2 linked regions of the Schizosaccharomyces pombe genome follow. The gene in region 1 interacts genetically with each later gene. Each region holds a gene or a part of one and is shown in the gene's direction. Other genes may lie near its edges.

Region 1 (8,436 bases):
CAAGAGACATTAGGTAAAATAAAACGTAACAGTTTTGACGATCTGCTGATTTGCTTGATGTCAACCTTGGGTATGTTTTCATTAAACATGATTGCTGATGGGTTTCATAATTCGTGAAAAATTGATAAAGCACTTTTCCTTATCATCTACACATAAGTGAACAGGCAAATCAATCCGTATTGTCTCCTCAACATACGGAATGTCATTAAAACCGGTAAACTGTACTAACCGGTGATTACGGGATAATAAAAAACCACTTCATTCATTTCAAAAACTGTTGATATAGTATTCTGTATGATTTCAAGAAGATAACTCTTCGGTGACTTGCTGTTTATTGCTCACCTGGCGATTCTAATTCCTTTTATTTTTTATCCTGATACGTATGTATTTGTTTTTCCCTCTTTAGAATAATATTCATTAAGCTTGAATAAGCGGTTATTAGTTTGCAAATGATTCAGCAGCTATATGTGAGTTTGCCCTTTTTCACTTGTCTACAGAGTCGGGAATTGACTTGTAAAACAAAATAAATGGAATATTGCAAATGTATTCTTTTTGCCTTGTGTTTATTTAGGAGTAGTATTGCGGAAACTTGTTTTCAGAAAACAAAGTAGCGCTTATGCTCGGTAACTACGAAAATACGAATTTTTTTTCCAATAAACTAGTATTTATTAAGCAATTGCATCTTCCATTAACCATGTCATTTCCATCAATGTATAGTTGTATGTACACCATGTATTTACGAATATTATCCAATTTAACGTACTTTACAGTATTTTGCTTATAAATGTTTACCGTACCAACTCAGCGTTCTTCATAATCCAGTTCTATATGCACTACAAATATAAAGCAGCCACTGTTAATTTCAGGACTCATTCTTTAAGCTTGGATCGACAAGTAGTTTCTCCTGAGATTCTCACTGTAAAGTAGCTCACTTAAACCTTAGGTCAGAATTATTTCTTGGTTCGTTTTGTTTTACCCTCTTCCATCCCATGTTTATTTATTTATCTTTGTGAACTTATTCATATTTGTGTATCAGTGATTGACGACTAAATATTGAACCAAAGCAGAACCTACCTCATTCTTATAATACCCATAAAAATTTATTTCTCGCTTTATTCATTTCATTTTTATGAAGCGATTGTTAAGCGATCTTTACCCACTATTATTCATCAATGCTAGTTCATAATTCTTTTGTTTCAACTTTTTATCTTATTATTTAATTCCTAAATTTTTTTTTGGTCCAATAGGCTGTCATATACTCAAATTAATTTCCTCAAAGTCAACGGATTACACCCATAATGAAGTTCTATATTGACGATCTACCTATTCTGTTTCCTTATCCACGCATCTATCCCGAGCAGTATCAGTATATGTGTGATTTGAAACATTCTTTGGATGCGGGAGGCATTGCGCTCTTAGAAATGCCTTCGGGTACTGGAAAGACCATTTCTCTTTTGTCCCTTATTGTTTCATATCAACAACATTATCCTGAGCATCGCAAGCTCATCTATTGTTCACGTACCATGTCGGAAATTGATAAAGCATTAGCTGAATTGAAGCGTTTAATGGCGTATCGGACTTCACAGTTAGGATATGAAGAACCATTTTTGGGTCTCGGACTAACCAGTCGCAAAAATTTATGTTTACACCCTTCTGTTCGTCGTGAAAAAAATGGGAATGTGGTAGATGCCCGTTGTCGCTCACTTACGGCGGGTTTTGTGCGGGAGCAAAGATTGGCTGGTATGGATGTTCCTACTTGTGAGTTCCACGACAATTTGGAAGATCTTGAGCCACACAGCCTTATATCTAACGGTGTTTGGACCCTTGATGATATCACAGAATACGGCGAAAAAACTACACGATGCCCCTATTTTACTGTACGTCGTATGCTACCGTTTTGTAATGTTATTATTTATTCGTATCATTATTTACTAGACCCCAAAATTGCTGAACGAGTTTCTCGAGAACTCAGTAAAGATTGCATTGTTGTTTTTGATGAAGCACACAATATTGACAATGTGTGTATTGAGTCTTTAAGTATTGATTTGACAGAATCTTCTTTGAGAAAAGCTTCGAAGAGCATTTTGTCTCTTGAGCAAAAAGTCAACGAAGTAAAACAGTCTGACTCAAAAAAACTTCAGGATGAATACCAAAAGCTTGTTCGGGGCCTTCAAGATGCTAATGCCGCAAATGACGAAGACCAGTTTATGGCGAATCCCGTTTTGCCTGAGGATGTTTTAAAGGAAGCTGTTCCTGGAAATATTCGACGAGCCGAACATTTTATTGCATTTTTGAAGCGTTTTGTAGAATATTTAAAAACAAGGATGAAAGTTTTGCACGTTATTGCTGAAACACCAACTTCTTTTTTGCAACATGTTAAAGACATTACATTTATAGACAAAAAGCCGCTTCGGTTTTGCGCTGAGCGACTCACTAGTCTTGTTCGTGCCTTACAAATTTCACTAGTTGAAGATTTTCATTCTTTGCAGCAAGTAGTAGCTTTTGCGACCCTTGTTGCTACTTATGAGCGTGGATTTATCCTAATTTTGGAACCCTTTGAAACAGAAAATGCTACAGTTCCCAATCCAATATTGCGGTTTTCCTGTCTTGACGCCTCAATAGCTATTAAACCAGTTTTCGAAAGATTTAGGTCTGTGATTATCACGAGTGGTACTTTATCCCCCCTCGATATGTACCCCAAGATGTTGCAGTTTAATACTGTTATGCAGGAATCGTATGGAATGTCACTTGCACGAAACTGTTTCCTTCCTATGGTAGTTACTCGGGGTAGCGATCAAGTAGCTATTTCTTCAAAATTTGAAGCCCGTAATGATCCTAGTGTTGTTCGCAATTACGGTAATATACTGGTTGAGTTTTCGAAAATTACACCTGATGGCTTAGTCGCATTTTTTCCAAGTTATCTCTACCTTGAAAGTATTGTTTCTAGTTGGCAAAGTATGGGTATTCTAGATGAAGTCTGGAAGTATAAGTTGATTTTGGTGGAAACACCAGATCCTCATGAAACAACTCTCGCCTTAGAGACTTACCGGGCTGCTTGCAGCAATGGCCGTGGAGCAGTATTGCTGTCAGTCGCTAGAGGAAAAGTCTCAGAAGGAGTGGATTTTGATCATCATTATGGTAGAGCAGTAATCATGTTTGGTATTCCGTATCAGTATACTGAGAGTCGTGTTTTAAAAGCACGGTTAGAATTTCTGAGGGATACGTATCAAATTCGGGAAGCAGATTTCTTAACATTTGATGCCATGCGGCATGCTGCCCAATGTTTAGGTCGCGTTTTGCGTGGAAAAGATGATCATGGAATTATGGTGTTAGCAGATAAACGATATGGTCGGTCTGATAAGCGTACAAAATTACCTAAATGGATTCAACAGTATATAACCGAAGGCGCTACAAATTTAAGCACTGATATGTCCCTCGCTTTGGCGAAAAAATTTTTACGAACTATGGCACAGCCTTTCACTGCGTCTGATCAGGAAGGGATTTCTTGGTGGAGTCTTGATGATTTGTTGATTCATCAGAAGAAAGCATTGAAGTCTGCGGCTATAGAACAATCCAAACATGAGGATGAGATGGATATTGATGTGGTTGAAACTTAATAGAAGCCATTTGTAAAATACTTTGATTCTAATCATCTTTACTAAGGCAATCCAAAACTCATGAACACAGCGATGAAGATATTTGGAAGCGAATGGCTAACTTTTTTGTAGGTGTGGACAATGTATGTATCAACTTGTATTCGAGAGTTGTATAGTGGACATTTCAATCGTCATCACGATACGCATGCTACTTACGAATTGTTTTAAGATCGCAGAGCAGAGAAAAAATATTATTTACACTCAGTTGGCAATTAATTTGCGAGTCGCTAAATTCGAAGTACTTTAAAATTTTTTTAGAGACTGTGTTCAAATAAAATCGGTTTCAGTTGTTGTAATGCTTCTTAAATTTTCCATCCCATCAATAACAATCCAGCGTTTCAAAGAGTGATTATTGGCAATTTCATGCTGCTATGGAAATTAAGCTTACATTAAGCGAGCTAGTTAAAATACGTGATGCAGTAATTGTAAGCCTAGTTATATAAACAAAACATCTGTTTATCATTTAGATACATAAAACAAAAGTTTACATATTCATAATATATTCTCATAATCTAAAAAATTTCCTTGATAGTTTTATGTCGATAAAATTAGTCTCCCATACTTAGTTCTAAATAAATGAACGTTTTGGGGTTGTACAACTGATTCATTGCTGTATTCTATGTAATATATAAATTTCTTGAAAATAAAAAATCTTTTGGTTTTACGGATTCACGGTTGGCTTATACGTAATTGCCAAGCACATATAAGATCAATGATGGTTTCTTTACCAAACTACTGTATAAAAAAATTACTCTAGCACAAAAAGGATACCGCTTTCAGGAATTCTTAAATATAGAAAAAAAAATAAGTGTAGCTTATTGCAAGGGTTGTCTCTAGTCACGTTGGGGTAGTCAGAATCCTGTCATAACTACTGCTTTGTATCTTTGATTAGCAAAGTAACTTATTGAATACAGTCAGCTGTCAAATTACAGAAAAAGAAGCAACTTTAATAGTATCTTAAATGATATAATCTTCGATACAGGTTTCTTTGAGAATTTGGCCAATAGCTAGAAATGTTTAAACGACGTCGAAATCCAAAAGGTCTTGTGTTGAATCCTAACGCCTCTGTTAAAAGCTCTGATAATGATCATAAGGAAGAGTTAATTAACAATCAAAAAAGCTTTGAATCCAATGTCGAAGCATTTATGGAGCAATGTGCGCATATGAATCGACGCCCAGCTTGGATATCTGATTTGGACAATAGCAGTTTGGAAGTAGTGAGGCATTTGGGAGAGGGAAATGGTGGGGCTGTTTCATTGGTAAAGCATAGAAATATTTTTATGGCTAGGAAAACAGTTTATGTTGGGTCAGACTCTAAACTTCAGAAGCAGATTTTGCGAGAGTTAGGTGTTCTACACCACTGTCGTTCACCCTACATAGTCGGTTTTTATGGAGCTTTTCAGTATAAAAACAACATTTCATTATGTATGGAATACATGGATTGCGGATCGCTTGATGCAATTCTTCGGGAGGGAGGTCCTATTCCGTTAGATATTCTAGGAAAAATTATAAATTCTATGGTGAAGGGTCTCATTTATTTATACAACGTTTTACATATCATTCACAGGGATTTAAAGCCTAGCAACGTTGTCGTCAACTCTCGTGGTGAAATAAAGTTATGCGATTTTGGAGTTTCAGGTGAACTAGTTAACTCGGTTGCTCAAACGTTTGTGGGGACTTCAACTTATATGTCTCCTGAACGAATTAGAGGTGGAAAATATACAGTCAAAAGTGATATTTGGTCTCTAGGAATCAGCATTATTGAACTTGCCACCCAAGAATTACCTTGGTCGTTTTCGAATATCGATGATTCAATAGGGATCCTAGATTTGCTTCATTGTATTGTTCAAGAAGAACCACCTAGACTTCCATCTTCGTTTCCTGAAGACCTCAGACTTTTCGTTGATGCCTGTTTACATAAAGACCCTACACTTCGCGCCTCTCCACAACAACTCTGTGCGATGCCATATTTTCAACAGGCTCTTATGATTAATGTTGACCTTGCTTCTTGGGCCTCCAACTTTAGATCCTCGTAAATGTGCAAAGGACGCAATGGATACATAAATTATGTTAGACCTTTAAACATCTTGTCGTCAAAAAGAAGGATTTCAGAAAAATCTTTTTAAATTAAACTTTGTCATGAAATGGATATTTTTGGTTCTAACCACACCTCTTCAATTATAGTGGTACAACACAATGTGGAGAACAATGAGATTTTGTCGTTGACGAATATTTCCGCTTTTTTCTTAATACAAAGCATTATTAGATCGGCCATAAATAGGTATCATATTTTGTTTATCAATTTTTTACTTCATTAAAGTGCTATGTAAATGCCCTCTTTTTTTGGTTATTCCATTATTAATTATCATTACGACTGTGTTCAAATGTAATTCTCGGTACACTGAATTGCTTTCGATTTAAGTCAATGAATGTTTTTTTTAACTACTTGAGTTACAGCGTCCACAATAGTCTGAGTTAAGTTTTACCCAAGCAAGTTAATCAGAGTCCTGCATGTCAAATCGCACAACTTCTAATAAACCAGATGATAAAAAATTAAAGCTTAAAGCCCGTAGTTTGCAAATATTACAATTAATACATAAACCATTCAGATGTAAAATTTAACGAAGTAAGCAATTATTATTTACTTGCCAGCTATGCAGTTTGGTATCTGTGTTAACGATACGTAGACTCCAAAGAGTTTTCCTTGTGACCTATTATATTGCAATATACAGGTAATATTTGTAGCTACAGGTTGTATGTATTATACTATCTAGATTATATTGTTACCTATCATTAATTTAGCTATTAACTGAACTGAGGAATGAGGATCAACAGTAGCTCTATTTACAGTATTCAAAATAATATAAATTTTTAAGAGATTATTATTAAGATCACCTAAATATCGTAACGTACGTGTACGATGAATAATTAGGACATGTGACATATAGTGATAATCAACGTAAGTATTATAGCGTAGCGTAATATTACTAACGGCGAACTGCGTAGCTAGTATGCTATTTCTGATTCGAAAAACCACTGTAATAAGTAGCGAAGTACTTTAAGTTTTCATTTCACTTTAACACCAAGCTTTCTGGGTTTTTACTTGTTTGCAAGACGCAGCAAAAGATTTATCAGTGATTAGTGCTGTAGATTGAATTTAGTTAGCCTTGTCACTTGTTAACATTAAAAAATTTTGTTGCAATCCGTTTCACTACGATTGTAATTTTTAACAAGTGTTCATGACTTCGTTGCCAGAAAAGGATCAGCAAGGCGAAGTTAGTGTTTCAGGTAAGAAGTTCGAGGTAATACCGATTAATTTTTTATTAACAGAATATAATTTTAGAAAATCAAAAGAAGCTCTCAGAGGAATGGGAGCCTTATATTGATAAACTTGTTGCATCTAATAGAACGCGTGACGAACGTGTTGAATCAATCCAAGAATTGTTTCAAAAATGTGTCATTGAAGAGAAGTTACCAGTAGACATATTTTTCTCTATTTTTTCCTTAGCTTTTGAAAGATTGGAGGAAAAAAATACCTTAGCTTCTTATGTAATTGATACGCTTTGGTTATTTGACACAGAGTGGATCAAAAACTTTCACGAAGGAAGTCATGATAAAGCTGAAAAGAGGCTTGTTTCAATTGGAAAAGGACTAAAGGAATTCCTTCCAGAGGAATGGTTGCTTTCTCGCTTGGATTGCAAATTTTTGGAAAATATTAATGTCGTTCCTAATGGCGATTTTCTAAATCGGAAAATTGTGCGGACAAATACTTCGCTACTCTACCGCCAAAAAAAATTTAATTTGCTTAGAGAAGAAAGTGAAGGATTTTCACATTTAATGATAAACTTTTTTGATGCTTTAACTTGTCTTCGCAATAAATCCTTAAACGAAGATTATCTGATCGTTCAAGTAAATAAGTCAATTATCAGTACTATTGGTGCTTTTGATTTAGATCCGAACAAAGTACTGGATTTGATTTTGTTGCTTTTTTCTGAAAATTTACTTGATTCGTGGCGCTTTTTCCTTTCTATCTTGAGAAACAGCCCATGGGGTCCGAATAAAGAGCGGAAATTTTGGAATCAGTTACCTGATCGCGAAAAGGAAACATTTTTAAATAATCTGTCTAATGCTAATGGTATTTTTAATTTTGACGAGCGATTCACCAATACAAAGAGCATAATGTCTCAAGTTTTGGGTCATAATTTGCAATATATGTATAAAGAAGATGACGAGAATTTGGAATCTTACTTTATGATGGTTGCTTTGTTGATTAAATATAATTTTATTAGCATTGATAACATATGGGCTCATCTTTCTCCATCAGATGAAGAGCTTGGTAAAGAGTTGGGTAAATATAAGGATAAATTAGATGAACAGACTTTTAAGGCTAAAGGAAATGCTTTAACAATGGCGGCCCCATTGCCCGACGATGAAATTGAAGACGGAGAAACCATGGATGGCCAGAAAGCTGAAGCTGTTCCTGAAATAAAAAAAGCCAAACCTTCACAGAAGCTGGGTCTACTAAAATCTTTATTGTCCATCGGGGATTTATCTTCATCTCTATTAATCTTGGGTCGTTATCCATTTTTGTTGAGGGCGTACCCCGAATTATCTAACTTGTATCACAAACTTTTGCATATTTCTATTTCCTCAATTTATGCAAATTACAGTCCATTGAAATTGTTACCAAATGATGTAAGGGAACGACTTAAACAGCCAAAGTTCATTCCTGAAGACTCTAGGCTTCGAGAAATTACCCTGAGGCCTCCAAAGGAAAAAA
Region 2 (4,272 bases), 720 kb from region 1:
ATTGACTGCTGTTGTCAGTGAGCGCAATAAATTGAACTCTCCTCATCCTCCCGTACTTGTAAAAATTGCACCTGATTTGAACGAAGAAGAACTCACGGACATTGCCGATGTCCTCAAAAAGTGCAAGATTGACGGTGTGATCGTTGGTAATACTACCGTTCAACGCCCTAAGACCCTCAAATCAACTAGCCATGTTGAAGAGACGGGTGGTCTTTCTGGACCTCCTCTCAAACCTATCGCATTAAATACTCTTCGCACACTTCGTAAGCATCTTTCTTCCGATATTCCCATCATCGGCTGTGGTGGTATTTCTTCTGGCAAAGATGCTATTGAGTATGCTCGTGCTGGTGCAACTATGGTTCAAGTTTATACTGCTTTGGGATATGATGGTCCTGTAATTGCTCACAAGATTAAGCAAGAGATTCTTGCCGAGCTTAAGGGCAAACGTTGGGTTGACATAATTGGCAAGGAAGAATAGATTGGGATGTCAGTATATTTCTTTTAAAGAAAAAATTCAGTGTCGTTTACTGGTACATTATTATAGTAAAAATTTAACATATTATAGAAAATAATACTCACGTTCTTCTAATTAAATATTATAAATGAATTACCTTTTGTTTTGCATACCTAAGTTTGCTTGTGAAACTATTATGTCGCTAGTTTAATTCTATTATGAAATTAGTCATTCAGGCATTTCTTAGTAATCTCGTAAATCCTGCCAGTCTTGCTTGTCTTACATTTGTGAATACCTATTTACTTAAATCTGATTTAAAAAACATGCAAACTTATATAAACTTAGAATGAATGACAAAGTTACGTTCTTGTAAGATCGTCGCCGCTTTCTGACCATTACGCAGACATTAGAAGTTCAGAGCTCAACTTCCCATAAATCAAAAAAACCATGTTTGCTAAAAACTTACTTTTCAGATTTCCAAAATGTATAAGGATTAACGGTTACAATAATATGAGAAGGTCTCTACTGCAGAGAAATGGATTTCAAGCAGGCATTTGTCGAAAATTTGGTACTGCAACCAAAACTGATGTATGGAAAGGCCGTTTTTTGCCTATTGTATCTGGCGTTGCAGCTGCTTCTTTGACTGCTGGATATTTACTTGGAAAAAACACTTCAAATGCATCATCGAGTCAAGATAATGACCATCCTGTTGTAGGCGAACATGTCCATACGGAAACACAATGTAAGTATCATATGTTTGAAATGGCTATCTTTTTCTGTACGATTATATGAATTTAACTAACAATATAGCGTATAATGAACCATATATGCAGCGACACCGAATTGAAGATGCCATTGAGAAGAAAATGACAAGTGAAACACAACCTTCGACTGACGAGAAAGGCCGCAAGGTCAGCGCTACTGAGAATAGTGCACCGAAGAAAACTGATAAGGAAAAATCCAGCGGGGAGACAGCTGGAAATATACTTCGAGAACAAATAGCCACTGGTAAAGATGATGATGAATATGCTAGGAAATTTGAGGAAGTGGAGGAGGAGAGCAGCGAGGAGTCAGCATTTAATCCGGATACTGGAGAGATTAACTGGGATTGTCCCTGTCTTGGAGGTATGGCTCATGGTCCATGTGGAGAAGAATTCAAAGCAGCTTTTAGTTGCTTCGTTTATTCCAAGAGTGAACCAAAAGGTATGGAATGTCTTGACAAATTTCAAGCTATGCAGGCTTGTTTTCAAAAACACCCCGAAATTTATCAAGATATGGTAGGGGAGTCTGAAGAGGAAGACGCCGAAACTAATGAGAAACCATCGACTACATCTGACGAAAATAATCAACCACAATCTCCACCCTCCGATAATGCATCTAATCCTGAAGAAGACGTTATGAACATGGAGAAAGAAATTGTTAATCTTACACCTATGTCAGTTATAAAGGAAATTTAAAATTTTCGAGGCGCTCCGTTTACTATTTAAAATCCTTCAACAATATGAAATTGAAATTATTCAATTAAAGCATTTGATAGTGATCTCGTAACGAACATATAATGACTCCAACAAATGGAGTAAGTTTAAAGTATTAATGTCTTACATCGGTTTTAATAGTTAGCGGTTCTACAATAAAGTGGATATTAAATGATAATTCGAATGGGGAATCTTGATATTATAGGTTATATTGCAATTGTCGGTAAAGAATCATAAATAGGAAAACTAAAAGCTACTGCTTGTCATTATGGTTAAATTGTATCCAGAGCTACATTGTAAGGAGCAATCTCTGTTAATCTTTTCAAAAAAAAAAACAATGGAAATTCATGGGATTATTCTATCTATTATAAATCTATTATGAATAAACTACTTCTTTTTTAAGTGCCAACTTTTAACATTGTCTTCATGAGTAGGAAAATAATGTCAGTTCGATAATAGGGTAGGGTTAGAAATGCTTCTAGGAGAGGAATCCAACTTCTTATGAAATTTGCCCTTTGCCTGTCTCTCTACGAATAATTAACATCATGTCAACTGAAGAACAGAAGGAAGAAATTAAGGACATCTCATCTAAGCAGGAGAATTCTTCAGAGGTTCCCAAGGCCGAGGAAGCTGGAAAAGTAGTAGAAAGTCAAAAAGATACTACTAGTGAAGAAAAAAAGGAGGAAACTACTGAAAAGAAGGAAGATGATGGAAAAAAAGATTTATCTTTTGATGAAGCTGAAGTTTTAAAGCAAGTTGGTATGTTACACACTTTGTTTACGTTGGATTAAAACCTTTTTTGTGTTGAGTGGTCGTTACTAACAGTATGAATAGAATTTTATTTTTCGGACACCAACTTACCCCATGATAAATTTTTATGGACTACTTCTCAAAAAAATGATGGATGGGTTCCCATTCAAACAATTGCTAATTTCAAACGTATGCGTCGTTTTCAGCCTTTGGAAGCCATTGTAAATGCTCTTCGCAAGAGTCCTGAACTTCTTGAAGTCGATGAAGCTGGCGAAAAAGTACGTCGTATGATTCCTCTAGTTCGTGTAGACAACAAGAGCGTCATGGAAAGAAGTGTCTACTGCAAAGGTTTCGGTGATGAAAAAGATGACACTCAAATTGCTTTGGAAAAATTCTTTGAAGAAAATGCTGGTCCCATTAGTGCTGTCCGTATGAGAAGGGATGACGATAAAAAATTTAAGGGAAGCGTATTTGTTGAATTCAAGGAACCCGATGTTGCTAATAAATTTCTTGAGAAAGTCAAAACTGCACCTTTGAAATGGGGCGAGGACGAGCTCACTATAATGAGCAAAAAGGAGTATGTTGACATGAAAGCTGAATTACATAAAAACGATCCACCAAAGTTTAGCAGCAAACGCAGACGTTTTGACGCTTTTAAAGAGATGGATCGTCAGCGTCCTGGTAAATATAGTAACAGAGGAAGAAAATTTAAGAAGCAAAGGTCATCTAACGCTTCTGAAGAGAAGCCTTCGGCCGCTTCGGAGTAAAATGGATTAATTTTGTTTGTTTGTTTGTTTTACAAATACTTCAAAGACACTGGACAAATAAACTTTTTCGGATTGGTTATATTAGGAATTTTGGATGAATAAATAGTCGTTTCATGCAGTTATTTTGTACAATATGACCTCGTAATTTAATGCTTAAATCGTAACAATATTCGGCTATAAGTTTTGCTATACGAATTTTAAAGGTTTTGAATAATAGCAATAGTTTTTTGCTTCATCACTTATAATGTATCGTACTGAATATTTTAAATTTCACATGAGTTAATATTAAGTCCTATTTCTTTACCAGTACGACCAAGCTTGCATTTCAGAAGTTCTCAGTGGAATTTGCAATGATCAGAATTGACTGAATTAAGAACTTGTATATTTCTGGTGGATATCAACCATACAAGAATCAACTTTAACAGTAAAAATAAAAAAATATCAACCTTAGAACCATGCGTCTTTCACATATTTCCGACTGCACAGTCAACATAGGTTTACAGTTCTCGATTGCTTGACTGGGCTACGCTATCGATCCTACACATCAATATGTTCTTCAGAATACAAAATATAGTGAAGCAAAAATAGTTGACCTTCCTATAGCTTAATTATAACTGAGACATTGCTTAAGCTACTTGAAACAGAATTAAATTGAATCTTTGTTTTATACTCATTTTTGGGCTATGACTGATTTTATTACTATATATAATCAAACCGTAGTAGAAAGTATCGTTATTTCGAAAATAAACATCTAACTGACAAAGTTATTGTTTTTTATGCACTGTGCTGTTCTTCGTCATATGCTATAAGCTCACCACGTTACATC

The links.
Region 2: of byr1 (region 1) and sla1, changing one suppresses a phenotype caused by changing the other (phenotypic suppression), as found in Schizosaccharomyces pombe (one study listed by BioGRID).

What each region holds. Positions count from the first base shown.
Region 1 is NC_003424.3:663,484-671,919, forward strand, and holds byr1 (MAP kinase kinase Byr1), read left to right. Parts: upstream 1-4,520; 5' UTR 4,521-4,669; coding exon 4,670-5,692; 3' UTR 5,693-6,259; downstream 6,260-8,436. Other genes in the region: transcription factor TFIIH complex subunit Rad15 , read left to right, coding at 1,299-3,617; THO complex subunit Tho2, read left to right, coding at 6,896-6,944, 7,000-8,436.
Region 2 is NC_003424.3:1,381,716-1,385,987, reverse strand, and holds sla1 (La-motif domain-containing protein), read left to right. Parts: upstream 1-2,439; 5' UTR 2,440-2,474; coding exon 2,475-2,688; exon of another isoform or gene 2,689-2,763; coding exon 2,764-3,446; 3' UTR 3,447-3,580; downstream 3,581-4,272. Other genes in the region: mitochondrial dihydroorotate dehydrogenase Ura3, read left to right, coding at 1-478; disulfide relay system thiol oxidase subunit Mia40, read left to right, coding at 902-1,196, 1,265-1,911.